Linked DNA regions of Rattus norvegicus. The protein of the gene in region 2 interacts with the protein of the main gene of each other region in a biochemical or structural test. Links are inferred from orthologs where the notes say so. Each region holds a gene or a part of one and is shown on either strand. Other genes may lie near its edges. The genes, in order: Stam2 and Usp8.

Region 1 (15,975 bases), about 77 Mb from region 2:
GTCTCGGCTGCTGCCAAAAACGGGGCATCACTGAACAAAAACAAAGAAGACGAGGACATAGCTAAAGGTGAGTGACCAAGCATAATTCTGTGCGACTGGAGATAGCCTCACTGGGAGGTTTTAGTGAAAGAAAGATTAGAGGAAGGACAAGAAGGCTTTTAATTCTACCTCAAATCTAAAAGCTGTAGGGTTTAAAAGTCAGGAAAATCAAAGACATGATAGAAGACGAACCCAGTTCATTTGGGTTTTTAGTAATATATATTTAACGTTCTACCTTTGGGGAGATTACATTTCACCTTTTCTTAATGCCAGAGCTATGACTCAAGCACAGAAATATGTTCATGGTGTCCTATATAGAAAGCTACCCGTATTATAATGTCACAATCTGTTTGCTATAAAAATAATTGCTGTATATTACAGACTGTGATAATAAGGGATGAGCAAAAATGTTATTTTAAAAAACGTCATGGGTCCTGTCCCCTTCTGACTTTAACCATTTAGTATTTGTTTGGACAGGCCAACTGGCATTCACCTCAAGTCCCAGCAATGTGAGAGCTGGAAATGAGATCAGGAGTTAAAGGTTATCTCAGCTACTCAGGGAGCTCAAGGCTCCATGAGACCCTGTCTTGGAAAGAAAGGAAACACACACTTGACTTATTCTTAAATACAAGATTGTTATCTAATATTTTAAAAAGCTTTTAGGTGTTAAACTTAATTCTTTTATAATTACATTTTAATTTTTCCAACTAGCTATTGAGTTATCGTTGCAAGAGCAGAAGCAGCAGTACCCGGAGACGAAGGCTCTGTGTCCACCCGCAGAGAGCCAGTTGAGTAATAAGGTTGCACGGAGAGTTAGAGCTCTATACGACTTTGAGGCCGTTGAGGACAACGAGCTCACCTTTAAACACGGCGAGATTATTACTGTTTTGGATGACAGGTAGGTTCTATGCTTTTCTGTGCATCTGTGTGTACTAGTCTGAAAATACTCAGTATCCCTAGATGAGGATAAGGAATACTCGTGATTTTTACTTTTAGTCAAATAATACAATATTCTCTTATTATTTTCTTGAAAATCAGACAAGGCAGTGAGACCCCGTGGTCAAAGCAATCAAAAGCCATGCTAATAGAAATGCTATTGCAGAACTCCCTCACCATTCCTTTACATTTACAATCCAAAGAAGCAAAACAGATTGATCTGTTTTGAGCCTAATTCTCCTCCTCCTTCTCTTCTTCCTCCTCCTCCTCCCCCCCCCTTTTTTTTTTTTGGCTTGTTTATTTTTGGAGACAAGGCCTTTAAGGCCTTCTGTCTCAATTTCCCAAATGTTGAAGTTACAGAGAATTGGGATTTCTGCATGAACTTTATTATACTTTTAAAAGAAGCGGAAGTGGTCTGTGAGCTGGCTCAGTGGATCACAACTCTTGCCTTTACGTGTGAGGGCCTGAGTCCAGTCCTTGGGACCCACATGTGGTAGGAGAGCACTGTCTTTTGCAAGTTCTCTTCTGCCTTCCACACACACATACACGAAATAGATAAGTGAACATAATCCTTTTTTTAAGTCGATGAACCTTTGCAGTAGTGAGGCCAGGCGGCTTTCTGCTGTGAGCAAAGATGGCGAGTGTACCTGCTTTCCTAGACTAGTGAGGTACATGGAAGTAGTTTTAATTTTTTAAGTATATTTATTTGTGTGCACACATGCATGTATGATCGTGTGTATGCCCACACAACCACCATGTGATGTGGAAGTCAGAGGACAACTTGCAAGAGTCACCTTCTACCCCAGAACCCCATGTGGGTTCTGGAGGCCAGACACAAACAGTCAGGCATCACCATAACCTGCTGTGCCATCTTGCTGGCCCTAGTCTAGCCTATTTTTAAGTGGCTACATACATATGGTTTTGCTTTGCTGCTGTATTTATAGAGAAGATGTTATGTAATAGACTATTTATAATAAAAAAAATGAATGAGGACACAGTTCTGTTTTTGTGAGACTTAAGTAAGGGAGTTAAAATGATGGGGTAGACAGTGATATATGCAAGACAGAGCATGACGATACCATGAAAGAGGCTGTCTCAGGCCACGGAGAACCAGTTTACATTTGGTATAGACACTGGCTTGCCCAAGGGAGGGTTGCTTCGTTTCAGATGAATCTTGATGGAGTGTTTTTCATTCCATGTTTTTCACTGCTAAGGACTGAACTCTGGCCTTGTACACTCAGGGCAGAGCTTTGACTCTCAGTTATGTCCCTAACCCCTTGGGTTGACTTTGAAAAAAAAATTGTAAGAAACTGAAAGGAGTCTAAGCACTAAACAGAAAAATAAGAAAGAAGCTTTAAGGAAAGGCTAGGATAGCATCAGCACAGAATTTATTGCTTCTTTGCCTGTAGTAGCTGTGGTTTCCTCGTAGGATGGTCTTACCCATCAAGGGCATCACTTTCCTTCTGCCACTGTCATTACAAGAGTCGTCAGGGAGTTGTTCTGGTTAGACCTCACAGCTGAAGAGAAAGGCTCAAGAGTTCCTTGGTTCTGAGACTTACACTTACTTGTGGGGAGGGTGCACATGTGTGCTGTGTCATGTGTGTGACGGTTAGAGGACACCGTACAGTTCTTTCCTTCCGCCATTGGGTCCTAGGGGTCAGTCTCAGATCTCCAGGCCCAGGAAGTGGTTTTAGCTGAGTTGTGTTGCCAGCCCAAGACCTAAAACCAGATAGGAGAACCTCAATCTCCTTTCAAATCTCAGAATACAAAAGGTAGGTTGTTTGTTTTATTTTCTCATAGCATTCCATAATAAATGCAGAGAAATGCCAGTTTTATTCTAACAGCCTAATTTCCTTTCATCTTGTCAAGTCAGCTTCTCTTCAGGAGTCACCTGCTGAGCTGTGTTTCTCTCTGCTGTAGCCAAGCACCCATGTGACAGACACAAGTGAGGAGGCTGTGTTTTCACCGAGAGTCCTTGCTTGTGTAGAAAGTAGTGTACAGAATATCTCTGGGCTACTGATGCCTCCTTCTCTGATCTAAGAATTTAGGTGGTGGGTAGCTCGCTTATATCATTGTGGAACTCAGTAAATGAAATGCTTCAGAGGCACAGAGACAGCTTCGTCATTAATCCCAGGATTCCTCCTTTGAGGACAGCGTAGTGTAAGAGTTTGAACCTCGCACGAAAAGGCTTTGGATACAGTTCCTAGTCCTACCAAGAAGAAAAAGAAAACCAAAAGCATCTTTAAGAATCACAGTTTGTCACATGAAATTTCTAGAAAGTAGATAAAAAGGGTTCTTCCCGGATAACTATGACTGTCCTTTTTTGGAAGTCCAAGAGAATAAGTGGTATTGATAAACAGCTAAGTTGGATTTATTAGATAAAACTTAATGACAAAAATCAGTGGTAGGTTTGAAAATGTAGTAGGAAGATGTCATTCTTTACTGCAGCTGTGAGGACTTTGAGAACCTGTGTTTGGCCCACTGGATCAACATGGCAGCTCACAACTGTAACTCCAGTTTCAGGGGTGCAGTGCCTCTTCTGAGCTGTCAGGTGCCTGCATGTGGTGCCATGTGCACGCTCAAGCCCACATACTTAGGTATAAAGTAAAATCACTAACGCCATCTGGTAATGAATAACCTGCAAGGGTATGCAAGGCCTTTATGGAGACTCTATAAAATTCCTGGAAAGGTAAGAGATAAAAGTATACATTATATTTATAAACATACAAATAGAGTGATAAACCTTCATATTGTAAAGATTTAGGTTTTCTCATATCACATAAATGAACTGCATTTCCAATTAAACTCCTTTTAAAATTCTTTTTCCCAAAGAATTTGAAAAAAGTTGGAGACGTGATGTGTCCAGAGAGTGGTTAACCAGCCAGCATGAGGGGCGTGGACTCTTCCCGATGTATTGTACATAGCAGTCACTTCCTAGGCAGATGAGAAGCAATCTAAGCCTTAGGAATTGCTGGCCTCTGCAGTCTTTTTCTCTTGGCAGCATGATTGACTGCAAGTAACGGAATCTACAGAGAGCTAAACGGCAGCTGACGAATTCCTCTAGACTGTTGGAATAGAGTGAGACACCGAGATAGGCTCAGGACAGACACAGCTTGCAGTGTGACTGTTAGGGGAGCAGATGTTAGGGGTTTTTTTTTTTGTTTTTGTTTTTTAATTTATTTTTTACTCAATCACTTTGCATCCTGCTCACGGGCCACTTCCTGGTCACCCCCTCACACAGTCCTTACCCCTATTCCCCTCCTTCCCTCTCCTCTGAGTGGGTGGGACCCCCAGCTATCCCCCCACCCTGTTAAATCAAGTCTGTGAGGCTAGGAGCATCCTTTAGTGAACTCTTAGTAATTTTTGCTGCACTGATTTGTTCTTCATACAATAAAATGAAGTTTGTTCCACACAGCACTTACAGTTTGATTCCACATGATTTAGTGACCTAAGCATGGCAGATGGACAAAAATGCAATCTGAATTATTAGACAAGTCTCTGGGGAGGGGGTAGATAGTAATTTAGGGCAGAGAAAGCTAGATAAATGTGAGACATGGAGAAAAGGTTACTTAATTGCCCTGAAAGCAGGGGTGGTCTTAATTCAGTTGCCATTCTAAGTTCATAAAGAACTAAAATCCATGAAGAAAATACCTATGGTCCAGTAGGAAAAACTAAACAGGCAAAGATAAGAACAAGCAGTTTAGGACTGGAGAGATGGGTCAGTGGTTAAGAGCACTGACTGTGGGTTGGGGATTTAGCTCAGTGGTAGAGCCCTGGGTTCGGTCCCCAGCTCCGAAAAAAAGAAAAAAGAAAAAAAAAAAAGTCAAAACATTGCTTTATTTTGGGCTGGAGAGATGGCTCAGCGGTTAAGAGCACCCACTGCTCTTCCAGAGGTCCTGAGTTCAATTCCCAGCAACCACATGGTGGCTTACAACCATCTGTAAAGAGATCCGATGCCCTCTTCTGGTGTATCTGAAGACAGCTACAGTGTACTTATATATAATAAATGAATAAATCTTTTAAAAAAAAAAAAAAGAGCACTGACTGCTCTTCCAGAGGTCCTGAGTTCAATTCCCAGCAACCATATGGTAGCTCACAACCATCTGTAATGGGATCAGATGCCCTCTTCTGGTGTGTCTGAAGACAGCTACAGTGTACTCATAAAATAAATTAATAAATCTTTAAAACAAGCAATTTAAAAAGTGAATTCCAGTATAGCAAGGCTACATGGAGAAACCCTGTCTCAAAAAAAGAAAAAAAAAAGAGAGAGAAAGAAAGAAAGGAGAAAAGAAAAAGAGAAAAAGCAGTTTGTGGAAGAGACCTGGAGAATCCCCGTGAGCATGATGAAGCATGCCTTGCCTTCTTTCTAGAATCAGATGTCGGCACGGACAATTACCACGTGTGGGAAAATGACTGCCCCACATGCTCCTTGGGGAAGGAGTGTGAGGTACCAGTCTTTCTAAGGAACATTGGCAATATCTGTAAAACCAAGCATGCCTGAGCCAGCACGTAGTTTTGTCTGTGTGTCCACCCTTCTCCCTACCCCCATCCCTTAATATTTTCGGAGACAGTTTCATTGTTTTGGCCTTTTTATCCAGACTGGTCTTGAACTCCATGGCTCATACAGTTCTTTCCAAGTACGAAGAGCTATAGGCATCAGAACACACCTAGCTTGCAGGTCAGTCTTGAACAAACCTAGAACAGTAGTTGCGCAGGTCAGTCTTGAACAAACCTAGAACAGTAGTTGCGTATCAGCTTTCTAATCCAGAGTGATTACTAGTCAGTCTTGTTTGTTTTTCCAAGACAGAGTTTCTGTGTGTAACCCTGGCTGTCCTGGAGTTCACTCTGTAGACCAGGCTGGCCTTAAACTCAGAGCTCCATCTGCTTCTACCTCCCAAAGGCATCTCCCACTGCCTCCCTGTGCTCTTCAGTCTATAAAGTTGAGAGACTGGGAATGACCTGGAATGAGCTGTAGAAGTCCATCTTCACAGAAATGATTAAACTAAGTGCATGTGCACTTGTGACAGAACTTTAAACGAGACGAGTAGCGCTGGAAGTATTAACCATGAAACTAAACGGCTCTCCCTGGAGCGACACACGTCTCCACACAAGTGTCAGCTCAGCTGTCTTTACGTGTGAAGGGATGGGAAGTAGATAGGGAAGGAGCTGCCTCGAGTGTGGTGCTGGGCGTGTGGAGGGTGGATTTGGGCTTAGCCACTGATAATTGCTTCGAAGCGATGGTATGGGGATATAGATTTTCTTAGGTTTATACATTTTTAACTGTCTTTTCATTAATTTGAGAAAAAAGTGTTTCTGGTTCTCCGATGCTAGGATTACAGGTTTGTCCCACTGTGTCTGGCTAAGAAAAACAGCTTTTAAGTATGGCTAGATGGGAACAAAATGTGAAAGTCCAGTCGCCATGTTGAGTTTCTCTTGTTGGGGTGCAGAATAGCCAGTGACCTTTTCCGTGCTGTTTTCAGTGATGCCAACTGGTGGGAAGGAGAAAATCACAGAGGAGCAGGACTCTTCCCCTCCAGCTTCGTAACGACTGATTTAAGCACCGAGGTTGAGGCGGGTAAGGCAACAAAGGTATTGGTTTCTCAGAGAAGCATCGGTCTACTGAAGTTATCTTCCCTTGAATTTATTATTGGCGTTTGAGAGTGGGAGGGCCTGGGTGTCCCAGCACATACCTTAGTCTTAGCACTTGTGGACAGAGGCAGGCAGATCTGTGTATTTCAAATCCTTTGGGTGTTGGTGTGTATAGTGATGATGATGCAAAATAAATATTTAAATCAAAAACTGAGAAGCAGTTTGTATCTGGTCTATACAAAATGTTTTTGGAACCACAGTAAAGGTGGGGACCACATAGGTCTTAGTCAGCAGGTGCTGAGCAAGGCAACAGGCCTTGTGAATCCTTAACTTTTATATTTTCTTCCATCTTGATTTGATTATAGGCCACTGACCTTCACCTGCACCTATATAAACCGTGTAGTCGGCCACACCGAGAGCACGGGCATTTGTTACCCACGCACTCCCTGGGTGATTTTAAGTGTACAGAATCAGCCTAGAGTAATGTTGACAGTTGGTTAACAGCTGGTTAAGCCTGTCAGCACTCTCCCATGCTCTCCTGCCTGTGGAGTCAGTATGTTTGCTGCCTTGATAGAGGAGGCTAAGGTGGAGGAACTTGTCTGGTAAGGGATAGGGCCAGAATTCTAAAGGCCTCCAGGCTCACTTCTGAGTGCCCTCAGACTCCTGCTGAGGCAGAGCTGAGCCCCCTCTACAGAAAGAGCATGTTGTGAAATTGTCGTGTGCCGTGCACAGTGTTCATAGTGCAGAGTGAAGCATGAGGAGAAGTGAAGTTGGGTGAGGGGAGGCGTATTCATGTAGACACAGAGCGCATTGCTTTCTCTCTGGCTTTCGTAGTTGATAGAAGCCTTGGGAGCTTTTCAGATAACATTATACAACATAGAAGACATCCTGTTCAGGGCTCTTCCTCTTGCTAGAGTTGAAGAGACTGGCCTGTGACAGTAAAATATTCAGCTGGGAGTGTAGTTTAGTAAAATGATTTCCTAGCATGTGCAAAGCCCTAGGCTTGATCACAATTTCTCTTCAGTAACATTATTTTTAAATAGTAAAAAGTACTCTTTTTGTTTTGTTTTTTGAGGTAGAGTTTCTCTGTGTAGCAGAGGTCTAGCTGTCCTGGACTCTGTTTGTAGACCAGGCTGGCCTTGAACTCACAGAGATCTGCCTTTCTGTGCCTCCCAGTGCTAGAATTAAAGGCATAAACACCATGCCTGACAGGAAAAGTCATCTTGATCCTCACTGTATCTCTATGTCTTGTTGAGCTCTCTTTACATGTAATTCAAAGTTAGCCAAATACTTTAGGTCAGGAGGCCGCTAGACCTCATCCTTTAGTTACGTTGTTTTCAATAGAACTTTTGTTTCCATCAAAGTTTAATTAAAATTGAGTACTTTCTAGCAGTGCTCCAGGGATCTCGTATTAGGTAGTTTTCAGGATACGCATATTTATAAATTATTTTAAAATATTCTCTTTAGGAAATATTTTTTTGTTTTAGCTTTATACTATTTTAACTCTCAGATAGCTTAAGTTCAGTCTATGTTTTGTTCAACTAGGAAATACATATATTTTTTTTAATTTTTAAATATAGAAGGTCAGAGGTACATGGAGCATGCAGTTATAAGTGGGACTGGCTTAGTGATAACATCTATTCCCAGATGATTGTGTTCACCGCCTGGCATGTATCTAAGCACTGGGAAGGAGGTTTGGCACACCGTGAGTGCTGAGTAAATATTGTGGCATAAATGACCATATGTAATATATTGATTATGAATTATTTCCTATGGATAATAATAGACCACCTAGAAATTTAATGACTAAATTGTAATGCTGATATAAATGTTGCAAAACTTAAAAACTTATTTTGTTTCTGTAGCAACAGTGGACAAATCGAATGTAATTGATGACGATGTGGAGGAAATTAAGAAGTCGGAACCTGAGCCTGTTTATATAGATGAGGTATCGACCTTTTGTTTAATAAACTAGCAAAACTTTTAAAAAATATCCTATCTTTTTGGAATAGGTGGGAACAGTGCTTCTCCACTCAGTGCGGTTAACTGGACTTCTCAGTGTCTCCTGTTACTTTTCTAGGGTAAAATGGACCGAGCCCTGCAGATTCTCCAGAGCATAGACCCAAAAGATCCAAAACCCGACTCCCAGGACCTCTTAGACTTGGAAGGTATTAGTTAATATTGAACTCACCTTTATGTTGCTTACATACATATTACAGTTTATAGTGTCCTGAAGTTTTTTTCCTGCTTCCTGTTTGCTCTTTGAGATTTGAAATTCTTGTGAGAAACAGACTTGTATATAAATAATTGTAAATAAATAGAAGTGTCACTTGGAAGATACTGTCACAGCCCATCTCCATTTCATGAAAGGAGTCTTTGTATTTTGTAAGGTCTCTAGTGAAATTGGCCAAAGAAAAGGCAGGATTAGAAATAACAGCATGGACAGGTGGCTCACACCTTTAATCCCAACACTTGAGAGGCAGAGACAGGCGGCTCTTAGAACAAGTTCCAGGACAGTCAGGGCTACACAGAGAAACCCTGTCTTGAAAACAAACAAAAAACAAACAACAACAAATCATATCATAGTAAGTGAAGTCAGTATGTAAAAGTTTATTTTTGTTTAACTGTCTTCTGACTGTGTGTCATTTAGTTTCTAAGAGTTTAAAGCAAAACAGATACTCTTCTGTGTTTAAGGATCCTTCTCGGGTTTCTAACCAAGTGCCAACCAGCAGTCAACCAGAGTCAAACAAACAATCCCAGTACTTTGGGCTTCTGGGCTTAGGGGATTGATTGTACATACAGCTCCTGCATGAAGAAGGCTAAGGCAGGGAGAGCGCCATGAGTTCAAGGCCAGTCTGGACCATGGAGTGCGACCCAGTCAGAAAACCACACAACAAAACTAAACAACCTTTGTAAAAAAAAACACAGTAAATAGATGTCTTAAATTTTTTATATAAAAGAAAGCTTGGTTATGAATATGGAGCACTTCTCTATGATATTTGTTTTTACGTTTGGAAGTCTGTGAAGTGTTTGGTGTGTGTATGTGTGAGCATGCCATATGCACACGTGGAAGCCAGAGGCTATCTCTGTAGAGCCGGCTCTCTGCTCCCCCTAGGACCAAACGCAGGTCACCAGGCTTGTATAGCAGGCTCCTTTATCTGCATAGCCATCTTAGCCCTGCATTGTAAAACATCTTACATACATAAAAAGTATGACTGTCCAATGCTTGTGCGTGTGTACACATAGTCCATACATCTGGACCAGGTTCGCCTTTATCATCTTTCCTGGCATAAGCTTATTTCCCTATATTTTATATGATGATGCATATTCTCTTGTTTAAAGATTATTGAAATCGACTTGTATTAAGTTTCTATATTTGTAATTATTTCTGTATTACAGATATTTGCCAACAGATGGGTCCAATGATAGATGAAAAACTTGAAGAAATTGATAGGTGAGGTCTTCACTTGCTTTGAGCAGATTTTCAGCTGGGGAGTCGCTCGTGGGATTGAGCAATTACTGCAGTTCCGGGTCGGTCGCCAGACTTTAAAGCTAGCGTCTGGTTACGCTGTTTATTTTCATAACGTCACTCCCACCAACGGCAGGAATGTGGCATGTGTAGACCGTGGACCCTTGCATTTTATCACAGTCACTTTGTTTTGGGGGCTGGAATTGAGTACGAAAGAATGAAGTGTGTCAAGGACAACATGAACACGGGTGTACCCAGTGAGGTTGACTGTGACAGACCCAGGAGAAATAGCATCTGTGAATATAACGAGTGAGACTTCCCTAATTTGGGAAGCTAAATGCAGTGCAGCGACTCCCCTCGTCTTCTCTCAAGCCTCTCTCTGTGTTCCTGATGCCTTTTCTGTTCCCTTGTCGCCCTGAGTTTGCTGCTCTGAGACTGGGCATCAGTGCTGCTGGTGGACAGGGTTACTCCCATTGGAGAAGCTTGAGAAATGAAGTCCAAGGGGAAGGAATTACTCTCCGCTTTTCTCCCTTTCCAGCCCCTAGTGATTGAACAGCTGTATAAATCATACAAAAAGAAAGGGATTAGGTTAATTTTCTAGTAGGTCAGCAAACAGTGATTCATTCAGGAAAAAATGGTTTGTTCCATAATGTATTTTAACATTATTTTTATTTTATGTGTGTAAGTGTTCGCCTTCATATCTGTGCACCATGTATCTACCTGGTGCCTGCAGAGGCAAGAAGAGGGCCTCAGTTCCCTTGGAACTGGAGTTACAGGTGATTGTGAGCTGGAAATCAAATCTGGGTCCTGAGGAAGAGCAGCCAGTGCTCTTAACCATTGAGCCATCTCTCCAGCTCCTCCATAGCATGCAGATATAGTTTTTTTTTTTAATGAATCCTTTGTGTTTTTACAAAACTGAAATAATCAGTGGTAGATTGGTCATAGTTTTAGATAGATCATAGTTTTGGAGAACATATCCCACACCTACTTATACATCTGCTACTAATGATTAGTGAGTAATCACACTGGGAAAGTTGAGAAAAAAATAACTAGTTTGCCATACGTGTGGCTGGCAATATTAGTACGCATTTCCCTAGGCCTAAAAATATTCTTTACCCAAACCATTTGAAATGCGTACTAAATCTAGGGAGCTATACAGTGACCAGATGTTGTGATATTAAACACAATGCTATTTATGACCATAAATATGCAGCTAACTAAAATGTCTTTCAGTGTTCTGTGTCTTATAGTAGAAATTAATTGCCATTGAAAAATACTTTCTGATATGGAATGATGTCATATATATAGTGGAAGATAGAACAGCATAACATTACTTTCATTAATAAGAAGAATTTACTAAAGAAGAATGTCTAAAGGAATTAAAACTCAGAGTGCCCATTTCTGAAGTCAGTTACCTTTGAGTGAGAGCTGGCTGTCCATCTGTGAGTCTGTGAGCCAGGGTCAGTGTTTCATAGCAGAGGGGACATTGCAGCCTCTAGGGCTTTATAGTCTCATGGACTGTTTGCTCCTGCCACGAATTCAAAGATAAATATAAATCATTTTTCCTTGAATAAATCAGCAACAGTTTGCTATTTCTATAAGGGATGGGAATGAGAGTTAAAGTGCCTTGTTAGAAAGTTAAATTGTACATTTCACTTTGTCATCACAAAGCATGAGCTCTCATACTGCCCTCCAGTTCTGACTTACCAGACTATTGTAATCTGATTTTCTACTGCTTTCCCCATTAGGTTGGCCTTTCACTCCTCCCCTGTATCCTGGTTGTCCATTTGCCTACCTTTCTTTTACCATCTGGCCGACCTGACCTGGTCATTGTTTCTACCTTTCCTGTCCATCTTTCCTCAGGACGAACTTGAGCCCTGGTCTTGTCTCTGCTGTCTCCAGCTCCCGTTAACCTCTAAGTTCTCTGTCCTTTCCCCACTCCTTAGAAGTTTGCACTTGGTTATGTGTTACTTCATTTGCTGGTTTTTCTTTTGTGCTCTTGACCTTGTCTTCCAAGGAGAAGCGCCTCAGCTGTCCTTGCTTGCTCTGGTGTAGTCCTGAGTGTGATTCCCTGAAGGCTTGCCTTTGCTTGGGGTTGTCAGTCTTGCAGGATGGTCTTATGCATGCGCTCGTGGCCGTCCGCTGTTGTGTCAGTGTCTCTGCAGTACGCTGGGTTACGTAGGCCACATCACGCTGTTACTGCGTACACCTGACTTCTGTAGGTTTAAGTGCTTTGCAGCAGTTAGATAGTTTGCCTGCTTGTGGTCATGGCACGAGAAGAGACAGCACCTGTTAGTTGGCTCAAATAGCATGTTAATGAAGGAGAGACTGCTATTTGTGTGTTGGGCAGTTTATTCGGCTTCTCATCTCTCTTGTTCACACTGAATCACATCCAGTATACACTTACAGATGATTAATACCACACAAAAAGTAGCCATTTAACTTACACCGTCATTCATCACCCCCAGGGGAATGGGCAGAGTTGTACCATCAGGGTGCATTTCCTGGGTGGATAATGCTTATCTGGATTTGTTGTTGTCTAATGCTGTGCCTAGTTTTGTTTACTTCCCCAAAGTAATGAAGTAAACAGAGTAGCCCAACTTGTGTATATGTTGGTTTTACTTGTGTTTCCTTGATTTTAGTTTGTCCTGTCCTGGACCTGAGTAAGGCGTGTATGCTTTTCTCCCATTTTGCTCTTACTGCAGTCACAGTATACCTCACAGGGGCTCCGGGTCTTCATCTACATACTGTACTGTGTTAGTGGGGTTTATAATCAAGGCATAGACTTTTACTGAAACATAGACTATTTTTCTTTGTAATTAAAATTTTGACATAAATCTATAATGTATTAAGTTAAATTCTAGCACCCAAATTATGAATTGATTGCAATTTATGAGGTGTAGATCTGCCTTTTCTGTATTATTAGGAAGATGGACCAGTCTGTTGATGGAATTCAAGTTTCTCCTCTCAGTTTTCCTTTGGGGATGCCCTTTCATTGCATATAAAAAGAGCCTTCTGAGGTATGAACAAAAATGTGTACTAAACTTGAACGGTCTTCACGTTACTTTGAAAATACTTGTCTTGCATCAGGAGGCACTCAGAGCTGTCGGAGCTGAACGTAAAGGTGCTGGAGGCCCTGGAGCTGTACAACAAATTGGTCAATGAAGCGCCCATGTACTCAGTCTATTCGAAGCTCCACCCGGCTCCTTACTCAGCCACAGCAGCTGGGGTTCCAGTGCAGGTGAGCATTGCTCTTGAGAAGTAGTCATGGTTTTAAAAAAATTAAATGTTTTAAGAGCATAATGCTAAGGGCAAGATAAGGCCCCAGGGACCTGCTGCCCACGAGTAAAATTATAAAACTAGGGCTGGAAAGATGTGAAGAGATGGCTTAGCCATTAAAGATTAGGCTCACAACCAAAAAACAAAAAAACAAACAAAACAAAAAACCAATGTTCAAAACAGTGTATGTTCCTTCTTCACTGTGAGAAAGTACCTGAGGAGAGTCAGCTAAAAGGAGGAAGGTTGTTTGGCTGGTCTAGTGATCTCAGGCGTCTCAGTTCATAGTCAGCTGGCTCCACTGTCCTCAGCCCAAAAGAGCACTCCATCCCCAGGGCAGGTGGGAGGCAGAATAGTGCAGGTCTGAGGGCAAGATAAGGCCCCAGGGACCTGCTTTCTCCAGCAAGTCCTTACCTTCTCACAGCACGCTCTACCATGCACTCACTAACGGGCGGATTCATGGGTAAAGTTAGCTCTCGCTCACCAAGTTCTTGAAATCCAGACTTCCAGCACACAAGCCTCTGGTGTGTGGGGGTGGGAGGGGATCTCCATATCTGCAGACCTTGGCACTGAACTTTGATGGTTTCAGAAGTATTGTTTGAACAGTGTTAGCCATAAAGATTAAATATGATATTTCACAAATTCATTCCAGTTTATTTTTAACACATTGAAAAGACTGTGCCTGGTTCTTTTTATGCCTCTGTAAGGAAGTAAGTATGTATGGGGTATAAGTCTTCTTTGTAGATGTAAGTCCTGGGCTGGAGACATGGCTCAGCCGTTAAAGGCTAGGCTCACAACCAAAAATGTACATGTAAGTCCTGTTTTATCAAGCACGAATTTCTCTCATATATACACACACACACATAATTTTTAATTTTATGTACCCTAAAGTGTTGTCTGGATATATGTCTGTATGAGGGTGTCAGATCTCCTGGGAAGGAGTTACATACAGTTGTGAGCTGCCATGTGGGTGCTAGGCATTGTACTTGTGTCCTCTGAAAGAGCAGCATTTTCTTAGACTCACGCCTTAACGTCTGTGTAATGAAGCTTTGCTCTGGGCTGTGAGATGTAGTTGCCAGAAGCTGCCCATTAGCAACATTGCTTTCCCACTACTTAGCATGGTTTTGTGCCTCCAGCTGACATGAGAATACTCAATTTCTTCAGTATCCCATTCCAAAGCATTTTTCAAATCTTAGCCAATTAAATTTAAATTAAGTGTGGATGAGCAAAATTCATGTTAATTTATGAAAAGTGGTATGCAATGGAGTGTGTGAAGGAGACACCAAGGAGAGCAACTAGAATGTGGTGCATAAATTAGATGATGTAACACAATATAATTGCTAAGTATTTTTTTAAAATGGTTACTGTGGTAACTGTCACACCAGAGAAGAAGCATTTATCAAATATGCCATGCTCTGAACTTTTTGAGAATTACATATGAGCTTAGAAAGGATTTCTGGGTTTAAAAAAGATTCCTGAAGTTTGTTCACTATTACTTCTGTTTTTAAAACGATGTTTGTTGCTGCTGTGGAAGTGGAATAAGTTAGAAGTGTCTGCTCCCCTGAACGAGAAGTGTGTGTGCTTCATGTCTGTGAAGGGCGGTCGCTCCTGTGCCAGGTGTCTGGGCTGCAGTTTGTACAGCTCGTCTCTTTTCCTTCTTTAGGTGTTCTCTAACATTTACTTTTTTCACACAGCTTCTTAATACATTAAGTCATGTGTGAGTTTGTTTGAAATTTCAAAAAATTACTGTTCTGTTTTTGAAAAACATATGAACTAAGTTGAGTGGCTGGGTTATGTACAAGAAATACACTTACAAATGGTGAACTCCAGAAGCCCATTCCTGTCTCACTTGGCAGAGGCTTGCTAAAGAGAACATCATTGCATTTTATGTAGCTTACTTGGCGTCGCCTATTATCCTAGATTTTAATGTAATCTTTGGTTTAAATCAAACTTAAGCAATGATTACTACCATATAGTAGTTATTATTAAACATACGGCTCGCTTTTGAATGCTGTTATGAATAGGCCGATAGACTCTGTCCTTACAGAACTGTTACTGTCTGTGAACATTTACGTAGGTTTACATAAGAATCTAGTGACTTTTTGCCGTTTCCTAAGAATGCACTTTGTCTTATTTCATAGCTCATCTTCTGAAGGCAGGTCTCTTAGTCACTTCTGTGAAGAGACACATGACCATGGCAACTCTTAGAAAGGCAGACATTTAATTGGGTTTGCCTAGAGGTTTCGTCAGTCCATTGTCATCATGGCAGGCATGGCTGGAGAAGGAGCCAAGAGTTTGATATCTGGATTGGTAGGCAACAGAAACACAGACACAGACACAGACACAGACACACACACACACACACACACACACACACACACACACACACACACACACGTCCTGGTTTGAGCATCTGAAATCTCAAAGCCCACCCCCCAGTGACTCAGTTCTCCTATAAAAACACACCTACTAGTGCCCCTCCACAGCAGGAGATGGGTACACAAAGCAGAGAGGGCCCAGCACCCTGGTCCTCTCTTTCAGCCTCTCTCCAGTGGGGGAGGTGGAGTAGTCATCCTCATGGTGGTCTGGAGTAATCACGGGCTTCCCTTCAGGGGAAGGTTCTGTGGCAAGATGTATATTAATAGACACTCTTGATAGAGTCCAGC
Region 2 (16,775 bases):
GCCTGGTTCTCCTCTCTCCAAAGAAGGGTGAACTCTGTTCTCCTCCCTTGCATCTTGTAAGGTTGTTGGCCCGCATCTGCCTCCGCTGGGCACAGCCCCCTCGGGAAGTGGAACTTGGGGTGTTAGACTGCACTAGGGAAGCACTGAGGCACCAGGGATGGGAAAGTGCAGTCTGAGACTTGGAAAAGCCAGAGCTGGTTCAGGGATTCCCCTGCCCTGTGACCTTGGGGTTCTCAGACTCTTGGACATCCAGGTGCTTCTGAGAGTCACAGAAGGGCAGAAAACGGAGTTGGGTGCTGGAGGGCTGAGGACAGCTTCTAGCCATTGGGGCAGTGTGTGTGTGTGTGTGTGTGTGTGTGTGTGTGTGTGTGTGTGTGTGTGTGTGTGTGTGTGTTTGCGCGCGCGCGCGCGCGCGCTCCAACTTATCCCAGTAGGAATGATTGATTATCCTTAGCTTGGTTGATGCAGGCTTGATGGCTGTTGTAGCTGGGAGTGCAGAGAGGCCTTCTACAGAAGATTAGGCTGCAACTTTGTAGTCATAGACCTCCTTCATGGGTCCCCATAATAGAGACAGTCTATGATCTGTCAGGTGCCTACATGACCACACCTTCCATGTCAGGAATCCGGCAGGGAGAAGGGAGTCACCTAAGCCTTGTGTGCCCACCAAATCTCTGGGTCTCAACCTGCTCTACCTCACTGAACTTCCTGGCATGATTTTACACCCTACAGTGTCTCTCTTCTCCTGGGGCCCAGAAGCCCTGTCTGACCCTTCTGCCCAGCAATTGGCTCAAGGCTTTCTTTACTGACAGATCAAGAAGCAATTGGGAAACAGGACCTTAGCATCAGACCCGCTCCCTACATTTAGGCATCTGGGTCTGGAAAAATTGTCATTCTAGGCACTGATATCCGGTCCTGTCCTTGTTGAGTGGACCTTGTTTCTATTGCCCCTCCCTGGTTCTTAGGAGACCACAGTGACTATATTTTACCTCGTAGGGAATACTTCTAGGATCCTGATAGATATGGCCATTGGGAGTTTCTAGGTAAAATATATTCCCAGGTACTGGTAAACTGACACTTAGAAGTGTAGATGAGCCGGCTAGGAGGGGGAAGGCAGGAGAGGCTGGGGCTTCACAAATGGGAGGAAAGCAGGTGTTCCACCAGGATCTGCTTAGTCCTCTGGGGATGGGGGCAGAGAGTAAGGAGAAGCCACAACAAATAGTCACTACAGAGCTGAGGGTGAGACGGGAGGGGTGGATATGGAGGAAAGCAGGGGAAGTGAAGAGCTGAAGCCTGACTATCGCCTTTGCAGGTCTATTTGCTTCTCTGACAGGCTTGGGTGGTGGGTTCCCAGAGAATGTCTGCTGTAGCTTGGGGCTGGGTGATCAGGATGAGTGGGGAGTAAGATTGGAGGAGGAGAGCTGCAGGATCTGCTGGAGATAAGGCAGAGTGGAGGGAGGGATGGTCTGCTACAGAGCAGGAGCTGAGAAAGGGTACTGGACTTGGAGGAGAGAAGTGAGAAAAATAGTTAGGCTCCCCACCAATTCCCAGAGAGTGTCTTTTGAAATTGGGAAGTGGGATGATGATGTGGTTTGCCCTGGAGTTATCTGTATTTTGATGCTAATGTAATTTGATACCTCAAGGACAGCTTCCTAGTCACCTACTCAGGACTCAGGTGACTGCACTAGAACCTTCTCCCCATTTAATTGTAAAATACAGGTGAGGGCAGGTACAGGATAGAAGGAGGCCTGCCATTAGACAAGAAGGAAGGATGGGTGGGAGAAAAGTTTGAAGGGAGAGGAGGAGACAGGAACAGAAAGAGGAAGAGACAAGAGGGACACAGAGAGTAGTCACAGTGGAGAGAAAATGGAAGCGGACATTAAGATTCCACTCTTTATTTACAGGCTGTTATTAATGTTCTTAAGGGATGGATGGTACTGGGCTTTGTATGTTTAGGTGGGCAATTATATCTTATCAGTTGGATCTAAAGTTATTGTGTTGTGTGTTCTTTCATGTGCAGATTTAAGTGTAAGGGAGTGTGGGGCGGCTGGTCTGGGCCACCAGGGAATTGGAATGTGTGCTTCTGGCAAGATGTACAGCAGATATCTTGGGGCACTGCAGTGACAGACCTAGTTGGGGATAAAAGACAGCATTTTATTTTTTATATTTTTACAACAACAGGATGAAGTGATGATTTAGGAGTTGAAAGGTTGGAGGGGAAGATCTGTATGACTCGCTGGAGATGGGGGTAGGGAGGGAAGGGAGGACACAGCATATGGACTGGTACGAGCTGGGGAGGAGACTGGAGGTTGGATTTGGAGGAGATGGGGAGAGATGATAAGTTGCTGTTAGTTATCCTTAGCCTACTTTCTTCCCTGGCCTGTGTGGCAAACAGAGTGTTCCCTGGGAATGCCTGTGGGAATTAGAGCTAGGATGAAGCCGTGAGTGTGTGTGGGGGGGGGAGGGGTATCAAGGAGATCTGTATAACCCACTGGAGATGGAGCAGGGAGACTGCAGCATGTGATCTGCTACAGAGCTAGGAATAAAACTGAGGCACTGGATTTGGAGAAGAGAAGGGATAAGTGAAGAGTGCAGTTAGTCTACCTGTTCTCCTGGCCAGAGTCAGATGTAGGCCCTTTGAAAGTTCAATGCTCACCCCAATTACACACTTCCTCCAATAAAGCCACATTTCCTGATCCTTCTAATCCTTCTCAAATAGTGCCACTCCCTGGTGACTAAGTATTCAAGGAGATGAGCCTGTGGGAGCCATTCTTATTCAGACTTCTATATTGCCATACAACAGGATCTGTGCACTTTTGCTGAGTGTGTGCAGGTGCTTGTGCATCCTTGTATGTGTGTCTGTGTGTGTAGGCTATAGGAAAACTTAGGTATTATGTTTGTTAGTTTATTGTCAATGTATCACAAACTAGAGTAATTTGGAAAGAAGAAACCTCAATTGACAAAATGCCCTTTCCAAAGTAGCCTATGTATATGAGTTTTGAGGGTATTTTCTTCATTACTAACTGATGTGGGAGGGCTCAGTCCATTGTGGGTAGTGCCCTTCCTGTGCAGGTGGACCTGGGTTGTATAACAAAACAGGCTGAAAGCCTCTAAACAGCTTCCTTTCATGGCTTCTGCTTCAGTTTCTGTCTCCAAGTTTCTGTCTCAAGTCCCTGTGGTGGTTTGAATATGCTTGGCCCAGGGAGTGGCACTATTTGGAGGGGTGGTCTTTTTGGAGGAAGTATGTCACTATGGGCGCGGGCAATGAGACCTGCTCCTAACCATGTGGGATCTAGTCTTCTAGCCTTTGGAACAAGAGATGGATGTTGTGGTATAATTATAAAAATAAAATGCTGTCTTTTATTCCCTCTAGATCCAGCACTGGGGTGCCCTAAGATATCTGCTAGATATCTTAAATCTCAGTCAGCAAAGCCTCTCACCCGATTTGCTCCATCCCATATCATACTGCCAAAGGCCTCTCTCTGAGCCCTGTCAGCAATCTCTCTACCTATATAGTTCCCAAGGCAGGTTTCCATGCCAGAAACACACATAACTGTGTGGCAGCCCAGCCCAGCCGCCCCACACTCCCTTATACTTAAATCTGCACATGAAAGAACACACAACACAATAACCTCTGATCCAATTGATAAGATATAATTGCCCACCTAAACACACAAAGCCTTGTACGCATCAATCCCTTAAGAACATTCATAACAACCTGTAAAGGTACCCCATCCCCCAAACAGACAGGAGCCCATCCGATGCAATCACAGTAGGACATTTTTATTCAAGCTAGCTAGGGTTCCTCAGTGCACCCCTGCTACGCAGGAAGGTTTTGGTGCTGAGGAGCCCCGAATATCTATCTGGGCAAGACTTTATAGGAAACAGCAAGTGGGGGGTAAGTGTGCAAGCATCTAATTGGGAAGTTATTATGCCATTAACATAATTGGCTGGTGCTGGGAGTCATACTATAAACTTAAGTTTTGAGTCCCTCTGCGTTGGGGTTGTTAGGCAGGGGGCGGGCTTGTAACCTGGGGGTGCAGGTTTGTTGGAGGAATAACCTGGAGATGCTGGTCTTGTTGGGAGATAACTTAGAAACTAATGCTATGCTTGTTTACCTGAGTTCAAACTCAGGTCAGGTTCTCGGAAATGGAGTCTGAATTGAAAAGATTTGGCCTCTCAGCTGTGACAGACCTGACCAACTTTTCAGAATTTGTGGATAGACTTTGAAATGTTGAATTAGAAAAGGAGTTGAGGGGGGTTGGGGATTTAGCTCAGTGGTAGAGCACTTGCCTAGGAAGCGCAAGGCCCTGGGTTCGGTCCCCAGCTCCGAAAAAAAGAAAAGGAAAAAAAAAAAAAAAGATTTATAGAAAAGGAGTTGAATATTCAGAGACAAATTAATTACTGTGGGGATTTAGAAGAAAATGGTGAGTGTAGAGCAGATGAGGGAGGCCTGGCTTGTAAAGTTTCAGAGGGAGTTTACAATTCCTTCAATGACTCTACTAGGACCACTTGATATTCTGAGTTTAAAATCTGCACCAGGAGGTGATGGTGCACACCTTTTATCCCAGCACTCAATAGGCAAAGGCGGGCAGATCTCTGAGTTTGAGGCCAGTCTGGCCTACAAGAGCAAGTTACATGGCAGCCAGAGCTACACACAGAGAGAAACCCTGCTTTGAAAAAACAAAACCAACAACCAACCAACCAACCAAACAAACAAACAAACAAACAAAGACTGTGTTCTGGTCAGATAGGGTTAAAAAATTTGCTTTCATTGACAAGAGGCCAAAATCACTAAAATGATTGAGAAGAGATTAAGCTATGTTTAAGAGGAGACCAGCAGTATCATAGAGGCAGAGTCTTCTTAGGTGTTTCCTCAGATCAGCACAGAGAAGATGTGGTCCTTTGGAATGTGGCAAGTCTCCCAGGTAATACTGTTTTCGAAAGCATGAAGAAGGCCAGGAGAAGCCACTGGTGACAGTCCAAATTTAGTTGCACTAGAAGCCCTAGTATTGAAGGGGCAAGTAGAGAATTGAGGGCTGACAGTGTCTGGTCGTGTTTAGGTTCCCTGATGAGAGTCCAGAATTGGTTGCAGGTGAACCAGTCCATTTGTAACGGAGAGCCCAGAACTTTAGAGGTGCCAGTGCCATGGAGCAACCACCAAGGACAGCAGCAAGTGTGGGATGGAGCTGGTCTGAGTCTGTGAGAAAATCTGTGTATACTGTGGACAGAAGAGCCACAGAGGCGGAACTACTCAGCCCCTTCAGAGCCTAGAAGATTGCCATAGCAATAGAAAAATAACTACGGGACTGGTTATGAATCATACAATTGGAAATAAATTGTGGAGATATTATAATATAATACATAGTGTGTTATAGTATAGTTCTATCTCAAGGAAGGATTGCATCCAAGCACATACATGATATACATTTATACATATTAAATATTTAATTTAAAATATCTTCTTTAGACGATTCCTTAAAGTATCATTATAGGTGAAGGTTGGTAACATTCTCCAATTGTAAAAACAGCACATCTCTTATCTGAAATGGTTGGGACAACAAGAATTTCAGGGCTTTAATTTTTTAATTTGGAATTCTTTCATATCTAATGAAGTATCTTGGGGATAGAACCCCAAGTCTAAGTGTAAAGTATTGTATGCTGTTTGTATGCTATATACTAACAAATAACTTTATATACAGTGCTCTTAGCATGCCTATTTTGATTGCAAACACCATCACAAGAATTTGGAGATTTTTACTGTGGCTTCATGTTCAAATTCTTGCAAGTCTTTCAGCATACCCACTCGTCCCTGCTTCACAGGTTTTGTCCTGTACATACCCATTAGTGCATCTCTCACCCTAGGTCCTGTAGAGTACCACTTTTTCATAAAGCCCTCTCCTGTCAATCCCATAAAAGAGACTGCCGTCCTTCCAGACCCCTTAGTTTATTTTTACCCTTAGAATTTAACAATGGTTAACATAGACTTTATGTTTTTATTATGTCTTTACCAGAAAAACCTAAATCAACTCTGAAAATTGATGACTGGCACAAACATCTACTCAATAACTGTACAGTTTTTATTTTAAAAATATTGTTTTGTCTTAATTTTTTGAGACGGGGCCTCATGTAGCCCAGCCTGGCTTTAAACGATGTATAGCAGAGGTTGTCTTTGAACTACTGATCCTCCTACCTCTATCCCCTCCCAACAAGTGTTAGGATTACATCTGTGTCACCTTGCTTAACTACCAGTAAGTGGATGTTTAATAATGGTGAGTGAACCAGGTACTGACTTATGTGAGCACTGAAGCTATGATTCAATATGGGCCATTACTTTTAAATAGGTATTATTCTAGGCACCACAAGTACTGTTGCCTAGTTTGTTATTATATATATATATATATATATATATATATATATATATGAAAAAGAGCCGTGTCCTACAATACAACTGAATGAGCATAATTTCATCCAGGTGTCTCTCCTCATGAAGATTTCTCATCCCATAAGGACTGAAAAGTTCAAATCTCACCTCAGGATTTTTATTAGTCATCTGGAGCTATCTCCAGTCTTTTTGCTTTTACTGTATGGCTCGGACTGGGGATTACCTTGCCATTTCTTGTTTCTGATGTTTGGCACCTGTTAACCCACATGTCCACCTCTTTCTCTATTTACGCAGAAACACATGCAAATGACTTGTGATTTCTAGCAAACCTGACTGAAATGTCAGTGAAGCAGGAAGAATTCTGTTTGCTGGGAGTGGGACGAGACAGAAGCAGAATTACATCAATGCAAGTAAAATAACTCTAGGCGTGGGTTGAAGAGGTGGCTCAAGAGCTAAGAGCTCTTGCTGCTCTTCAAGGGGACAAAGCTTCAGTTGCCAGCACCCATGTTGAGTGATTCACAACTACCTGTAACTTCAGCTCTAGGGGCTAGGACACCCTCTTCTGGCCTCAGAAGGCATCACATGCATAAATACATTAAAAAAATAACTGTAGGTGAATATTAAAAAGCAGTGTTTATTAAAAGCTTTTCTGGGACCTCATCAATATATTAAAAAAAAATTGTTCTTGGGGAGAGAAAGCACATGGAGATCAGAAGACAACTTTTGAGATACCAGGCGTGTGTGTGTGTGTGTGTGTGTGTGTGTGTGTGTGTGTGTGTGTGTGTTTTCCAGGGATCAAACTCAGACTGTCAAGCTTAGCTTACCCGGTAAGGATTTCACCCATCTTGTTGGGCTAAGAGAAATTTTTTATTGACCCACTCCAATGATGTCTCTCTTCTTCTTTCATTCCTACCTTCTTCCAATTGTCAGAGCACCCCAAAACGTTCTCCATGTGTTTGATACTTACTCTCACATTCAGCTCTAAGTTTTTCTTTCCTTATTCAATTTTACAAAGCTGAGTAGAGAAAATATTTTCCTAAAACAACCCGTCCTCAAAAAGCAATTTCTTCCTTAATTATGAGGAAAAAGAAAGTCATTGAGACTTTTATTCAATAGTTTCAAGCATTGTGCCTTATCATAGCAGTCTTTACTTGTCTAGAGAGATCAAATAGTATATAATTTAGTGTTGGTTTTTTAAAGAAGGAATACAAATATATTTTTGCATGTAGCAAACTGTAATGGGAAGGAAATTAATGTTTATTTTAAAGGCTGCTGGACTGGATGCTTACTAGTCTTTACGGTTGACTGCCTATTTGCTAAATATTTTCATTATATATACTTAGTAGACCTGTACTTACAGATTTGACATGCATTAAAGATTTGGACTATCGGGATTGGGAATTTAGCTCACTTGCCTAGCAAGCCCAAGGCCCTGGGTTCGGTCCCCAGCTCCAAAAAAAAAGAAAAAAAAAGAAAAAAGATTTGGACTATCCCTAGGGATTTAGTGACCAGGGACAACTCCACCCTAAGCAATTTTTATGTCCACGAGTACCCCATCCTTTCTCCACAAACTATCTTCCAGAGTTCAGACCCAGCTTTGTAAGACTGGACCTTTAGGAAATTTTGACCGTGTTTGTGCAATGTTTTCCAAACACGTCTGTTCTTTAACAAGAGGCTTGGATTTGGAGAATGCTTACTCTCAAGTTTTTGGGGTATCAATCCTCTTCCCGTTTTTTTCTCCCCAATTTCCGATCTGAGAAGAAAAATACACTATTGAGAGGCGCTAAAATATCTTCGCTTCCTCCATGGACAGCTTAAAACACGATGTGACACATTCTGAACTGACTTCCTCTAGGAAATGAGATGCGCGAGGACCCCGGAAGTGCTGCATGGGCGCTTCGGTCCCGCACAGGCTCAAACCTCCCTTCTGACGCATGCTCACACCGGCTCCGTGCTCACCCTTCTGGAGAGGGCCACCCCGTTGTCCCTCCCTACCGGACAGAGAGGAGGAGTTACGGTTCTCACTTGAAGCTCCGCCCCCTCCGTGACGTTTAGAGGCGCGACCCGTCGCACGCAATGCGAATCGGGAAGAGGGGATGATCTGCGCTGCTTTGCGTCTGAGAACGGAGGCTCGTTCTCCTTCTGGTGGTGGGCGATGGGCGTCAGGCGAGAAGGCCGGCGTTAGCGGAGCGCGGGCGCTGCGGTGAGTGCGGCCTGGCTCCGGCCCCGGTTCCCGGGGAAGGCGTCCTCCAGCTGCTGGTCATCCGGGAGACGAGCGGTGTCCGCGGAGGGGTGGGACAACCCCTGACAACTGGCTGGTCCAGGAAGGGCCCGACTCCTGGTCTCTCCCGTTCCCCTCCTCCGGTGCCCAGCGAGTTTGATGTGGTTTGCCGGTCTCAGAGGGTGGCCTTGACCAGTTCTCCTTTCTTTTGGACACTAGACCCAACTTTGGACTCGTTCCTTTTGCTTCCTTTTTCTCATTTTGTGCTATCTACAATCCCAGGCCTTACTACAACCATTTGTCATGTTTTCCCTATTCCCCTGTACCCCGGTCACGCATGATTTTAGTGAAGTACAAGAATTGAGTTAAATAAACTCACCACATTTAAAACTTCTTCAAAGAGGGCATTTTCTATTTTTTAAAAAAATGTTTCTTCGTTTGTAGACTTTTGGCACTGACAAGTTCACTTCAAATATGATGTACCGAGGGGATTGTCAAACCCAAACACAGTGATGTTCATTTACCCACAAAGCTGCAGACCCTGTTCCTGTTTTGTTCTAGCTTTCAGTCTGTGACCTTGACCAAGTCAGTCATTCAAGAAATATTTATGTGACTCACAGAGGTGTTTCAGAGTCTAAGGGGTTTAATGTTTATTAAAAGCTCTAGGGTTTGGGATCAAAAGGATGCCTAAAGAGTGTAATCTCCCCCACCTCCCAAACAAGTCTTACTATGTAAACAAGACTTGTCTTAAACTCACAGAAACCCTCCTCCCTTGGCTCGAGAGTTGGATAAAACTGTGCATCAAGCACCACTCCTGGCAAGGGCAATCTTTTTTAATCTGTAGAGTATTCTTAGTTGTGTATATTATCTTACTTCATTAAAAAATCCATGTGTTATTTTTTGGGTTTGGTGGCTTTTGTTTTTCCGAGGCAGAGTTTCTCTGTGTAGCCAGGGCTGTTCTGGAACTCACTCTGTAAACCAGGCTTGCCTTGGTCTCACCGGCCTCTGCCTCCCGAGTGCAGCCCCACCACTGCCAGGCTCTGCATGTTGCTTTTTTTTTTTTTTTTTTTAAAGCTCTCTGCTTTATGACTCTTTCTGTTTAAGACTTCTAGTTGAAAGTCAATCATGTTGGATTTAGGGAGTTTCTTATCGATAGAGCTCTGCCTAATAAGGCTGTATTCATGCTTCTTTAAGACTGTGAATTAGTATATATATTAATCATGCCACTGTTGATATGAAATGTATATTACTGCTCTTTTGACCAGATATTAGGTACATATTTTAGTTGAGCTGCACGGATCTTGCAGTAGCAATATAAGTCTGTGAGTAATGAAAAACTAACAGAAATATTTAAAGTTTTCTTTTTATCCATTAACTTGTTGATTTATTTACTTACACCTTATTAATCATTCTGACCTTTTGTTGATAAGAACATAAATGGGGGGGTTGGGGATTTAGCTCAGCGGTAGAGTGCTTGCCTAGCGAGCGCAAGGCCCTGGGTTCAGTCCCCAGCTTCGAAAAAAAGAAAAAAGAAAAAAAAAGAACATAAATGGGTCAGAATCCAGATGGCTTTGTAAAACAGTTGTAATATAAAGCCAACACATCAAACTTTATTCGTAATATGCTTAGGGAAGGAGATTTATTTTGCCCCACGGTTTCAGAGGCTTCTGCCCAAGGTTAGTTGGATCCATTGCTTTGCATCCGAGGTGAAGCATAGTCCCATGGTGGCAAAAGTATGTTAATGGAGACTGTTTACCTCATAGCAGCCAAAGAGCAGGGAGGAGTCTTGTATTTTATTTTGTTATAAAAACTGACTGGGTTTAGGTTATCAGAAAGCACTCCAAGATTGTTCATTCACCGTAGTTACTGATGTTGGTTACAGCTGGGAATAATGACTGCAGTGCTTAGTGCAGCGTCTGTGTGGATTGAACTTCTTATAGCCTGTGTGCTGGGTTCCATGACTACACTTTAGTCTCTGAAAAGCCTGTATCAAGAAATTAGCACAGTAACTTCTAGTAATATTCTAGTGGTTAGAGCAATCATGGCACCCTTCCTATCAGATGATGGATTTATACCATTTTTGTGTTTATGTGTGTTTGGTGCTAGGGCACCCAGGGCATGGCACATACATATCAAAGCACTGCTGCGATGTACCAAAAGCCTGACTCCTACCTTTTAAAGCAAAAGGTTCTCAAAACTACTTTACAGGCTCCCAACATGTGTGTGACCACACGCAAATTTATTTTTTGTATAAATCAAAAACTCTGTAATCTAACCATATATAATTGCTCTTAGAAACTAGGGCTATTTCCTTCCTTCCCTCCTTCATTTCTGTTCCTTAGCATTCTAATACTTGTTCGTGTGCCTTAGAGTTCTTTTCCTTTTTTTTTTTTTTTTTGGTTCTTTTTTTCGGAGCTGGGGAACGAACCCAGGGCCTTGTGCTTCCTAGGCAAGCGCTCTACCACTGAGCTAAATTCCCAACCCCTGTTCTTTTCCTTTTTTAGCACTATGCTTCCCTTCATTGTGCAATGTCTGTTCTCTACTGAGTCTTTCTTCCCATAGGATGCCTAGTTTGAGGCCTTAAGTAAAGTATCAGCTGCAGCAAAAACAAGGCTTCGATTCCTTGATGATTTATTCTCTACTCTCATGACCAAGGCTGGCCTCTAATTCCTGGGCTGAAGAGATCCTTCTGCCTCAACCTCCCCCCAGGTAGCTGGAATTGCAGATGCATGCCGCTGTACTCTGATGCCAGTGTTTTAAAGAGAATTATATATGCTTTAAAATACACTACATAGGGGCTGGGGATTTAGCTCAGTGGTAGAGCGCTTACGGAAGCGCAAGGCCCTGGGTTCGGTCCCCAGCTCCGGAAAAAAAAGAACCAAAAAAAAAAAAAAAAAAAAACACTACATAAAAGCAGGGTAAATAAAATAGTTGTAAAACGTCCCTCCCAGACTCAAATTTTGCTTGTGTAGACTCCCAGCTTCAGACCCCATTTTGAAGTATATGTAGCCTTTAGGAGGTGGGGCCTGACTGGTAGATGTTTGTTGCCGGGGATAGTCTTGAAGGTTGTTCCAGCCTGTGGCTCCCTCAGAGCTTTCTGCTTCTGGTCTGCCAGATTAGAGGAGCCACCTCAGCATACTCGTGCTGCCATAAATTCTGTCATAACTTTCCCTGCTATGATGGACTGAAATTCTTCCAAAACAGTGAGGCAAAATAAACTCCCCTTAAATTATTTCAGGTTTTTTTGTCACAGAATAAAAGTAATACAGTATCATTTTCAGTGATAGTATATGCTGTAATCTCCCAAACAATAGGTTTTTTTTTTTCTTTCTAAGACAGCCTTGGCTGTCCTAGAACTCACTGTGTAGACCAAGTTGGCTTTGTACTAAGAGATCCACCTGCCTCAGCCTCCTCAGTGCTGGGATTAAAGGTGTGTGTCACCATGCCCATCACTGGTCAGTTTTTATTTTCATTATTTATTTATTTTATGTATTTGAGTACACTGTCTATCTTTTCAGACACATCAGATCCCATTACAGACAGTTGTGAACCACTATGTGTGGTTGCTGGGAACTGAACTCAGGTCCTCTAGAAGAACATCAGTGCTCTTAACCGCAGAGCCATCTCTCTAGCCCCATCACTGATCAGATATTAAGCTACGGTTTTGTTTTTCACATTTGTTGTTATTATTGGCTTGCTTGTTTGGTTGTTTTTTGAGACATGACCTTTTTAAATAGCCCAAAGCCGCCTTGAATTTACCGCCTTCTAGCTTCAGCTTCCTGTCTGGGCATGCATTTTTGTGTGTCTGTTATTATTATTTAGTTAATAACATTAGTGTTCTTGTCTTTTTACAGAAGGAAAATGAGGTAATGTAAGCAAGTGAAAATACTCAGTTTTAATCATTAAATCACCAAAGCAGTGTGCCCAATTTGTTCTTCCCTGCTATTCTTCCCTAACTGTTCTTTCCCATAGTATTGTTCCCTTATTCCATCTTCAAATCCTCTTGCATATACCCATTCTGGCCGTCCTGAGGCAATACTGATGTGCCAAATGTCTTCTCAAGCCCTCCACTCTGCGACAGTACTTACTTTTTTTTTTTTTTTTGGTTCTTTTTTTTCTGGAGCTGGGGACCGAACCCAGGGCCTTGTGCTTCCTAGGCAAGCGCTCTACCACTGAGCTAAATCCCCAACCCCAGTACTTACTTTTTAATCTAGCAGCTCTTAAGTGTTGACAGGATTATTAAGTTAGAGTCAGGATACATCATATCATCAGTGCACTCCTTTGGTCCCAGTGATTATTGCTTCATGATTCCCATAGGTTGCCTTACTATAGTTTCCGAATTGTTTTCTCACAGTGATTTCTCATTTTATGTCTCTATGGTGCTTCCCTTCTGAAACATTGCCTTTCTCACTTCATCTCTCATCATTTCAGCCAATTTGTTATTTGGCCCAAAAACTGTACTGACTGAGCAATATAGGTAGCAAGTACTGTAGGACTCAGACTAAGACATGAACTTCAAGAACTGACAGACAGAGGGAAGCTGAAGCTGAAAGGAAGGGGCCAGCATTGAAGAAGACACTGTGGGCTGGCTGAAGCTTTCTCTGTCTAGCTGAACTAGATTTTTCTTTCCCTGAGTTCAGCTAGTGACCTGAGTCATATTAATATGTACTAGAGCAATTGATTGTTGACTTATTATTTCATGAATATTAACTCTGGTTAACCAGAGTAAGACATTTGTGACCACCAACCCTTGTTTTCTATATCCCTTAGAAAAGTGTGTTCAGAGTCTGCCTCACTTAAGGTTCCACCTTACCTCAGTGATGAGACATGGCTGCATTATGCTTAGTCTTCTGTTTTCTTTCTTTTTTTTTTTTTTTTTGGTTCTTTTTTTCGGAGCTGGGGACCGAACCCAGGGCCTTGCGCTTCCTAGGTAAGCGCTCTACCACTGAGCTAAATCCCCAGCCCCTTCTGTTTTCTTTAGGAAGTAAAAGCTTGCCTTAGAATGGAGGTTCAAGGACTATAAAAGGTGTATGCTTTTTGGCGTGTGTTCTATAATGAGCTTATTTGGTTACAGATCAGCAAGTGGTAGTTCCCCAGGCCAGCGTTGGTCTTTGGACTGTATTTGGAATAGCACTGCCGTCATGTGAGCTATCAAGTTCTCGTTTTGTTTTGAGACATTGTCTTGCTGGTTAGCATAGGCTGGCTTGAATTCTCAGTCTTCTTGCTTTAGCTTCCGGCTACACATCGGGCTACTTTGTTTGCTTTAGTTTATAATCCTTTTTTTAATATTGCATAATTTTACATATATAATATACACATATACATACATGCATACATACATATATCCAGGGTCTTACTATGAAGCCCAGGTTGGCCTTGAATCTATAATCCAGTAAAATACATACATACATATACACACACACACACACACACACACACACACACATACACACACACACACATACACACACACACACACACACACACACACGCACGTGCTGAAGACTTTAGTAGCATTGTTCCATGCGGAGTCTGACTATGTGGCATGCCCTGTCGCTGTCTTTGCAGGGTTTCTTGTTCTTGTTCTACTTCCTTATTTCACTTCTGTCACCCTGGGTCCGACCTCCATCCTTCTTTCTCTTCCATCATTACAAATCATTACAATAGATAACTAGGATTTTCTTTCTTCACATCTTTGTGCTCTTGTTAGTTGGGGTTGCACAACTAACAAGCAGGTTCCTTCAGAACCCTGCTGTGGTTCTCTTATTACCTTTAGAAAACAAGGTAAATGCTCATGTGCTTTTCATAGCCTTTTTTTTTTTCTTTTCTTTTTTTCGCTCTACCACTGAGCTAAATCACTAACCCCTTTTCATAGCCTTTTATGATTTGTGTGGAGACTGTTTTTGACTTCTCTGCCTCATGGCTTCTTGTACATTCTGTCTGATAGCTGATTCCTAGAGATGCACTTGGTCTCTTGACCTTGTCCCCACACTATTCCTCACTGCTATCAAAGCCATCTTCATCAAAGAAGATACTTAACGTTCACTTTTTTCTGATTACTTCTAGTTCCCTTTGGTTGTAGTTTTCTTTCCTAATGTTTTTATTTGTAACACCATCTATTACTTTTATTTCCACTGATTACAATTTTGTTTCACATTAGTTTTGTAAGCCTCATGTGGAACTAGTCTAATCCTTCAGCTTCTGAAAGCATGGCACTTTATATAGCAGGATATCAATGCGCTTACATTTTACTTTAACTAGCTAATGACCTACTCTTTTAAATTATCTATATATCTGACACGATTTTCACATTTATTTTAAAGATCCAAGTTTTAGGGGCTAAAGAGTTGGGATTGAGAGCACTGGCTGCTTTTTCAGATGACCCAGGTTTGATTCCTGCACCCACATGGCAGTTCACAGGATCTTTAACTCCAGTTCCAAGGGATCCAGCACCTGTTTGTGAATTAAAGTGTTCATATTAGATACCAGGCCTTATGTCTTCTTTAACAGCTGTCCTTTAGTGCAGAACCTGCACTTGCAAGGAAAATCTGCTTGGGGTTTTCACTGATACTAAAATAATGGTGCTGTCTGAGAACAAGGCAATCCAAGGGATCCCTGTCACACCCTTTATTTAATGGATGTTCTTTGTTCTTAGTGAATTGTTAATGAATTGATAGTAGAACACATCCAGTATCACTTGACCCATTTGGAAGTGATGGTGAGGGTAGAAACTTTTTCTCCCATTATTATAACTTTAGATACAAGGTTCAGAACAGGAGGTAAAGGTTTCATATGCAAAGTCATTGTGTCCCCCCCCCCCCCCCCCCCCCGAGCTGAGGACTGAACCCAGGGCCTTGCGCTTGCTAGGCAAGCACTCTATCACTGAGCTAAATCCCCAACCCCTAAAGTCATTGTTTCTAATTGCATATATATCAAGGTATCAGTTACCATTTAGTTCAACATGTTTTGAAAGATGCATGGAGCAAGTATATATATAGAAAAACCTGAAAAGGTAAAAATGGGATTTTTAGAGGAAAGCTGTTTGGTAACAATATAGTCCTAACACAGACTTGGAAGGGATAAGACCAGATATTCATAAAGTATTAGTGTTTAATACAGGAATGACTAGAGTCAAAGGAAATTGAAGTGTTTTTGGAGTTTGATGTAAGTGGACTAAGACCATTCCCTTAAATTGTACCTCAATCAGCCCTTAGGAATTTTTTTTTTGTCCAGCCACCTTTAATCTCAGCATTTGGAAGGCAGAGGCAGGTAGATCTTGAGTTTGAGTCCAACCTGGTCTACAAAGCAAGTTTCAAGACAGTCAGGGTTATACAGAGAAACGTGGCCATTTTGTCTGCATGTACATCTACATATCACTTGGGTGTTGGATCTTCTGGATTGGTGTTATAGATGGTTATGAGCCAACATGTGGATGCATGGAATTGAATACTGGTTTTCTGGAAGAGCAATCAATGCTCTTAACCTCTGAGCCATCTCTCTACCGCCTTCCCTATTCACTCTCTTGGGAATAGGCGCTTGTTGATCTCTGAATTGATTGATGAAACTGAATTGATTGTACCGTTTAGAGAGCACAGAGATGATGGGGGAAAATAAAGTTACAGTTAAATTACTAAATTGTAAGTAGTTACGCCTGGCAGAAGACCACACTGGAAGTTAGTCTGGTCACTGGTTTTCAGGTGGTGACACTTAGGAGCATACCAAGACACTGCCTGGGGCGCTTTGATCTGTTCCATCTCTGGTATCTTCATAAAAAGTAACATGCCATTTTAATTAGTGCATACCTTCTGATTCTTCCTGTTTTCATTTTGTTTACTTCATATTTTCTACTGGTCAGAATTAGCATACCAGGAAACAAAAAAATGTCATGAACTATCAAAGATCCTTTCAGAGTAAACCAAAGTGTAGGAGTGTTTCCTGGCAGAAGCAGAAATATGTTGTTTTAGTTCCTAGCTCCGTATAAACCTGGTTTTGCCTACTACTTTTATAAACTTATATCAAGAGGAAAACAAAATATTCCAAGTTGGAAATTCTACTTGTATATAAATGTAGTTTTAACAGAAAAATATGAAAACTTTATTATTCTGTTCTTTTTAATAGATAAGATTTTAATACTGAAAAAAAAGATTTAAATACTGATGGCAAAATGGTACA

Evidence for each region.
Region 1: the proteins of Usp8 (region 2) and Stam2 form a complex in vitro, tested with the Homo sapiens proteins (3 studies listed by BioGRID, with this or other methods). The link is inferred for Rattus norvegicus from reciprocal best matches to the Homo sapiens genes USP8 and STAM2.

Annotation. Positions count from the first base shown.
Region 1 is NC_086021.1:57,600,883-57,616,857, reverse strand, and holds part of Stam2 (signal transducing adapter molecule 2), read left to right. Parts: coding exon 1-67; intron 68-750; coding exon 751-937; intron 938-6,455; coding exon 6,456-6,550; intron 6,551-8,429; coding exon 8,430-8,512; intron 8,513-8,644; coding exon 8,645-8,732; intron 8,733-9,963; coding exon 9,964-10,018; intron 10,019-13,123; coding exon 13,124-13,274; intron 13,275-15,975.
Region 2 is NC_086021.1:134,407,080-134,423,854, forward strand, and holds the start of Usp8 (ubiquitin carboxyl-terminal hydrolase 8), read left to right. Parts: upstream 1-8,446; 5' UTR 8,447-8,585; intron 8,586-16,775. UniProt on the Homo sapiens protein: Hydrolase that can remove conjugated ubiquitin from proteins and therefore plays an important regulatory role at the level of protein turnover by preventing degradation. Converts both 'Lys-48' an 'Lys-63'-linked ubiquitin chains.